Linked DNA regions of Caenorhabditis elegans. The protein of the gene in region 2 purifies or fractionates together with the protein of the main gene of each other region. This does not show direct contact. Each region holds a gene or a part of one and is shown on either strand. Other genes may lie near its edges.

What was found. The genes of interacting proteins can lie anywhere in the genome.
Region 1: the proteins of dld-1 (region 2) and nprt-1 fractionate together in Caenorhabditis elegans (co-fractionation; one large-scale study listed by BioGRID). This does not show direct contact.

The regions. Positions count from the first base shown.
Region 1 is NC_003282.8:2,883,605-2,887,357, forward strand, and holds the start of nprt-1 (Nicotinate phosphoribosyltransferase), read right to left. Parts: upstream 1,689-3,753; 5' UTR 1,653-1,688; coding exon 1,631-1,652; intron 1-1,630. Other genes in the region: dml-1 (uncharacterized protein), read left to right, coding at 3,448-3,471, 3,736-3,753. UniProt on the Caenorhabditis elegans protein: Catalyzes the first step in the biosynthesis of NAD from nicotinic acid, the ATP-dependent synthesis of beta-nicotinate D-ribonucleotide from nicotinate and 5-phospho-D-ribose 1-phosphate.
Region 2 is NC_003282.8:14,462,457-14,466,209, reverse strand, and holds the start of dld-1 (Dihydrolipoyl dehydrogenase, mitochondrial), read right to left. Parts: upstream 1,694-3,753; 5' UTR 1,689-1,693; coding exon 1,604-1,688; intron 1,524-1,603; coding exon 1,320-1,523; intron 1,241-1,319; coding exon 1,089-1,240; intron 1,029-1,088; coding exon 606-1,028; intron 1-605. Other genes in the region: nspg-9 (DUF19 domain-containing protein), read right to left, coding at 2,179-2,333, 2,389-2,537, 2,592-2,712.

The DNA of each region.
Region 1 (3,753 bases), about 12 Mb from region 2:
ACAGTAACCCTACAGCACAATACCTCCTCAAAACTTCCAGAACTACAGTATCCTTACAGTACCCCTACAGTAACCCTACAGTACTTCCATACTAGAATTGACTGAGAGGACTTGTTTTCATCAATCCTATGCAAAAAAAAGAGCAACAAAAAATGTGCAAAAAGCGCGATAAATTGCATTTCTTTGCGGCGGTGGTGGGTGGTGAGAACAGATAAAATGCAGCAGAAGGACAATAATAAACGATATACAGTGTACACACGGGCGGTATTGCAAAAAAATGAACATTTTTGTGTGCAAGAAAATAAAAAAAGACCACCTATTCGAGATGTTTGATGTTTGACTTTTTCATGATTTTTCCCATTTTTCCAGAAAAAAAATGATTTTTTTTTTGAAAAATTCACGTGAAGGTGGGAATATTTGTAGCCATGTCTGGATTTACGCAGGCAGTGTGTACTCCCTGAGAAGAAGAAAATCTAGTTGAAATGCTCCATTTTGGACCATTTTTTCCAATTTTTATGGGGATATTCAAGTTATCACGGATGTCTCTGGCTTCCCTCATAAATTGAAATGGAAGAGTTTTTGCCGAACTAGGCCATTTTGGCTCGGCCATATCTGGGGTAGATTTACGGCGCGTTGCGTGTCGCGTCGCGGCTCGGCGGTTCTAGTTGGAAAACTAAATGTATTCGTCCATGTGTGGAGTACACGACACTTTCCCACGCGTTGTCCGGCGGGCGATTGCCAATGGAGCGCGAAAACATCAATGGGAAAGGCCAGAACCCCGTGTACTCCCCGAGGAGTTCAGGACTTTCACAAAATTTGGCTGAAATGCTCCATTTTTAACCATTTTTCCAATTTTTTAATGGGTTTTTATTCAAGTAATGTCGCGATATACTCCCATTACGCACAAAGAAAATGTGCGGTAAATTGGCATTTTGAAGGAAAAAATACACAAAAATTTGGGAAAATGGTCCAGAATCATGTATTTTTAAGCCAAATCTCTTGTCCTCGAGGAGTACACGACAGCTGCGTAAATCGACACATGGTCGGTCGTGATTTTTTCTACAAATTAGTGCAAAATGTAGACAGTATTTGAAAATAGCTCAAATTTGAGCTAAAATATAGGGAAAAGTGCCTAAAAACTGCTCAAAGGTGGCCGAAAAAATTTCGAGCAAATTTTCCGATAATTTCCAAATCAAAATGCTCCAAATCTGTTCCTGAGCCCCCTTTTCAGTACTTTTTTACGGGAATAGGAGCAATTTTTGAATCAAAAGTGTTATTTCCGCAAAATTTAAGCAAAAATTTCAGCAAAAATGTTGGGAAAAAAATTCCAATTCAGCACGTGGAGTCAGAAAGTCCCATTTCGCTTTGATCTACGAAAAATGCGGGAGAAGAGACACAGACTTTTCAACTGATTTCGCATGGTAAAGAGTGTGATGACGTCACAATTTTTCTGGTAAAAAATTCCCGCATTTTTTGTAGATCAAACCGCGATGAGACTTTCTGACACCACTTGATTCAGGAAATTTTTGCAGAATTACACATTTGCTTTCCGTCGACAAAATAAAAACCACGAAAAAACGACCAAAAAACAACACACATAAAAGTGCACACAAACACGGAAAAAACGAACCTGATGGCAAAATGAACGACATTCTTTTTTCTGAGTGAGGGTGTTCTGGGGAAGAAGACTGGAAAAAAAGAAGTGTGTGATGAAAGGATAGGCAAAAGAAATTGGAAAAAAAAGAAGAAATCATATAAGAGATAGGCGGAGAAGATGATGATGATGAAGCTGAGAGAGGCGGGGTGAAAGTGCACAATGAGCAGCACATCACCCGGGACACACACACACAGATGAGGTCTCGTCCCCCTTCAAAGTACAATCGGTCACTTTTGATTGGTGACCAGAAGGCAGAGAGAGAGAGAAGAGATAGAAGAGATTTCGCGTCTAAATCTCCAGTGTTTTGTCGACGAATTCGGCAAATTGCCGGTTTGCCGGAAATTTTCAATTCTAGCATATTGCCGGTTTGCCGGAAATGTTCAATTCCACCAATTTGCCGATTTGCCGGATAATTTAAATTCCGGCAATTTGCCGGTTTGCCGAATTTGCCGGAAATTTTCAATTCCAGTAATTTCAATTCCATCAATTTGCCGGTTTGCCGGAAATTTTCAATTTCAGCATATTGCCGATTTGCCGGAAATTTTCATTTTCGAAAACTTGCCGGTTTGCCGGAAATTTTAATTTTCGGCACATTGTCGATCTGCAGGAAATTTCAATTCCGGTAATTTGCCGATTTGCCGAAAGTGTTCAATTCCGGCAATTTGTCGATTTGCCGGAAATTTCAATTCCATCAATTTGCCGGTTTGCCGAAAATTTTCAATTTCAGCATATTGCCGATTTGCCGGAAATTTTCATTTTCGAAAACTTGTCGGTTTGCCGAAAATTTTCAATTCCGGCAAATTGCCGGTTTGCCGGAAATTTTAATTCTAGCGTATTGCCGATTTGCCGGAAATTTTCGTTTTCGGCCCATTGTCGATCTGCAGGAAATTTCAATTCCGGCAATTTGTCGGTTTGCCGGAAAGTCTTAATTCCGGTAATTTGCCGATTTGCCGAAAGTGTTCAATTCCGGCAATTTGTCGATTTGCCGGAATTTTCAATTCCGAGAATTTGTCGATTTGCCGGAAATTTCAATTCCGATAATTTGCCGGTTTGCCGAATTTACCGGAAATTTTCAATTCCAGAAATTTCAATTCCGGCAAATTGCCGGTTTGCCGGAAATGTTCAATTTCAGCATATTGCCGATTTGCCGGAAATTTTCATTTTCGAAAACTTGCCGGTTTGCCGAAAATTTTCAATTCCGGCAATTTGCCGATTTGCCGAAAGTGTTCAATTCCGGCAATTTGTCGATTTGCCGGAAATTTCAATTCCGAGATTTTGTCGATTTGCCGGAAATTTCAATTCCGATAATTTTCCGAACTTGCCGGAAATTCTCAATTCCGGCAATTTTCCGAATCGCCAGAAAAATTACTTCGAAAGAATGAAAAATCCAACTTTTAAAATCAAGATTTTTCAATTTTGGTTAAATGTTCTGGGCGACCAATCAGCGAATCGCTCCGCCCATTTTTGAACCAATCAGATGGAGCGGACAATGCTGATTTGCTCGAAATTGGGCGGAGCGAATCGCTGATTGGTCGCCCAAGAAATTTAACCAAAATTGAGAAATTGCGTGTTTTTAGTTGGATTTTTTATTCTTTCGCAATTTTTTTGCACTTTTTTTGTAGTTTTTCTGAATTTGAGACAATTTTGGTTATTTTCACCCAAAATTGTTTTCAAAAACAATTTCCAAAAAAAGAAACGTGACGTCCACTTCCTCCTGCTACAAATGAAAATGAAATTTTGAGATTTTCAAAAAAAACTCGTCATTTCATATTTGTTGTAAGCTATAGGAAATGCAGAAATTTTCAATAAAGCAGGTGAGTGCTGTACTCTACTTGAAAATTGGAATTTCGAGCTGAAATTCCCAGATTTCGAGCAAATTGGCCTGTCGGAACAGGAGGGAGCTCCTCAAAAGTGGCATATCCGCATTTTTATACGAGAAATATGCCAGTTTGGAGCCCATTTTGCCGGAAACTTTTTTTTGAAAAAAAAATAGCCTTTTCCAAAAAAAGTGTTCTCAGCTACTTTTTCTCGCGAAAAAGTAAACTTTGCGCAGAAAAAAAAATCTGCGGCTTTTGCAGGAAACCCCCATCTCACGG
Region 2 (3,753 bases):
ATAAACTTCTTTTTTGGCTGAAATAGCGAAAATTTGGCTTAAAACAATGAATTTTTAGTGAAAATTCGTCGTTTTATTTTCATTTTTATTGTGTATTTTAGGCCGGTAAACAAGAAAAAACACATATTTTAATGAAAAAAATTGTGCCGCAGTAGAAATAAACTGTTTTTTTAATTAAAAAGTGGTGTTTTTCCAATTTACCGGCCTTAAAAAAACTCTAAAAATGAAGAAAAACGGTTACATTGGCTAAAAACAAAGTAATTTCATTTAAAAAAAAAAACGAAAAAGCAACCAAAAGACTGTTGTAGGGTTTTTCGCGTCGAGACCCATCTGAAAAATCCATGCGCCTTTGAAAATTATGCGAAATTTTTGTGAAAATCACGCGTTTTCTAAACAATTTCGGTCGTAACAGGACCGCACAAATCTCATTTTTCAGACGAAATTCGCGCTTTTAGCTTTTCTGAAACGTTTTCGGTCGTTTCAAGGCTTCAGGTAGTATTTTCCGTGTGAAAATCGCCTTTTTAAAGGAAAATCCAAAGTTTTTGCCATGAAAAATCTTGAAATTCAGGTATTTCTTCGACTAAAAATCGGAAAATTCGCCGTACAGTCTGTTTCTTTCCATCCTTGGCTCCTTCGACCTCAACAGTGATGGTTGATCCGTTCTGCGAGGCTCCCATAACCTTCGTATTCAACAAAAACTTGAATCCCTGCTTTGTCAGTGATCTCTGGAAGTTCTTCGACACCTCTCCATCGATTCCCATTCCTCCGACGTGTCCGAGGAACTCGACAGCGGTCACTTCGGCTCCGAGGCGCTGCCAGACGGATCCGAGCTCAAGTCCGATCACACCGGCTCCGATGACGACCATCTTCTTCGGGACTTGTCCAAGAGAGAGGGCTCCAGTGGATGAGACAATTTGCTTCTCGTCAATGGTAATTCCTGGGAATGGGGTGACTTCTGATCCAGATGCGATCAGAATGTTACGGGCGTTGATCGTTTCGACTGAGCCGTCATTTTTCTTGGCTTGAACCTGAAATTTAGAGCATTTTCCAGTGAAAAATCGATAAAAATCAAAATAATTCAGACTAACAGTGTTTGGGCCGACAATGGTGGCGAATCCCTCGACGTGTCCGACCTTATTGGCCTTGAAAAGCTGCTTGATTCCTCCGGTGAGCTGCTTCACAGAGTTTGACTTGGCCTCCATCATTTTTGGCAAGTTCAACGAAGCTGTGCAGTCGATTCCTGGAAAAAAAAGGGAAAATAATGCGATTTTAGCAGATTTTTAGCGTTTCCAGATTATTTTTTCAGCAAATTTTCCTACCTCTTGCTGCAAAATCGTGCTGAGCCATGTGCAAATAGTGGGAATTGTTGAGAAGAGCTTTTGATGGAATACATCCAACATTCAAGCAGGTTCCTCCCAATGTGGCGTTCTTTTCAACACAAACTGTCTTCATTCCGAGTTGAGCGGCCTTAATAGCGGCAACGTAGCCTCCTGGTCCTCCTCCGATAACGACGAGATCGGCATCTGGAAAAAAAAATTCGGGTTTAAATGGTTTTTAAAAACTTTTTATTCAATTTTTCTCGATTTTCAAAGCTTTCTCCTACCTTGAGTGTTGCTGTAATTTCTGGCCAACACTTGGAAAAACTGCCGCTTGGCGAATGGAAGCTGAGTCGTTCTGGACAGCGACATATTACCTGAAAATAAATCGAATTAGAAGAAATTTTTGGCAAAATCCGTGAATTCCGCGTAAAAAAACACGAAAAGTGACAATTAAATGACGCAAAAATCACGAAAAATTGTGGAAAATTGACGTTTTTTCACGAAAAATGAATGAAGCTCGCGAAATAAAAGAAATAAAATCATCCCGTAAAAAACTCCGACGGCTCTTCCCTGTGTCTCTTCCGTGCGAGACTCAAAGCGGAAAATGTGTGCGCCTTGAGCTTGCAACGACACTCCGCAATTACAGAGTGCGTGTTGTTTAGTCAAATTGGCGGATGTTTAAATTTAGGTTTTTATTGAGTTTTTTTTCAGAATTTCGAAATAAATAGATTTCAGTGTTTTTTTCTGGATTTTAAACATATTTCGATGAAAATTTTCCGCAATTAAGAAGTGAAAGAATACAATAAACATTTATTTCGAAAAAATCAAAATTTTCAAATTTTCAAATTTAAAGTAAAATTTAAAGAGATTTCAGCCAAACTCCATCAACAGAGACAAGTTGACCGTCCTTCTGCTCAACTGTATCAGGCATCTTGAACCAATGAACATCATCGACAATTTTGTGGTGAGTATCGAGCCAATTAGCGTTGGCACCGAAGAATGGGCCGAATTTTTCTGAAAATTTCAAAAAATTATTTTACAAAATGCAACAGCGCTCTACTGCACAAACCATCACAAGCCAATGGGCAACTTGGGAAGGTAGTCTTCACGAAAACCTTATTCTGCTCACAAGCCCACCACGTGGCAACTCCAGCTTCTCTGCGGCAGGGAGCAGTCTGGAATGGGGCTGACCAGCAATTCATGAGGTCTTGACCGTACCTGAAAATTAGTTTTTTGATCTACTCTGCAAACGCGCTCTAGCAAACAACTCACTTGCAACCGTTTGTAGCGTCATTTGCCACGTTGGTGATGTAGGTTTGAACGCATCCGATGAGAATATTTGATTGGGTGTTGAGAACTCGTTGTGGGCAGCTGAGGCCTTCGTGCTCGAGAGCTGAAAGTGCGCTCTATTGGATTTCAAAATTGATTTTTAGATATGTATTGTAGCTCACTAAAATGAAAAAAAAAATTTTTACTTTGTGAAAAAATTTGCTGTTTCAATATGCTTTCAAATCTTCAAGTGATTTTTTTTTCAATACTAGTATAAGTTCTAGGTATTATTAAAAAATTTTTAAAAAGTTTTCAACAATGCAACTGCGCTCCACTGAACAAAAAAAAATGTTAATAGCAAAATCAATACGTTTGGGACTTTCTGATTGAAAGTTTTGAGTTTATAAACTATAGCCAGTGTGAAAAAAAACTATTTGGGAAATAATTTGCCCGAAAAAAATATGTTTCGTTTCATATTATTTTCAAAAAGTTTTAGTTTTTTAATTGTTTCACTTCCATTTTTGCTTGCTTCAAAAATAACTTATTGAAGAAGTCACTGCAAAAAAGGGCGGGACCTTGTAAACCCCGCCTACAAAATGGACAAAGATTAATTTCGTTTTATTCCTGCTTTGTGGCATTTAAAGTTTTAATTTTTTTTTTTTTCAAAAAAATTATCGATTGTTTCAACTTGCTTTTAAATATTCAGGTTAATTTATTTTCAATATTCGATGGCTATGTGGACTATTTAGAGCTTAACTTGAATATATAAAATTTACAATAAAGAAAATGCGCTCCACTGAACGAATATTATTTTTTCGCAACAAAAAATTTTGATTGAACATTTCAAGTTTAGTATCTTTGTGCAAAAAACTACGAAAATTAGACAATTAGTTTAATTTGAAAAGTAATTTATGCGAAAAATTATATTCTGTTTCATATTATTTTCAAACTGTCAAGTTATTTTTTATTATTGGTTATTCAATAAGAATCCTTTTATGTAAAATCATTGTAACAAAATTCAAAAACCATAAAATTTATTTCAACGAGACACTACATTTACCGAAAGTCTATTTGCTCATTAAGAAAGGGGCGGAACCTTGTAAACTCCGCCTACAAAATGGACATAGATTAATTTTGTTTTAGACATGTTTTGCCGATTACTTAA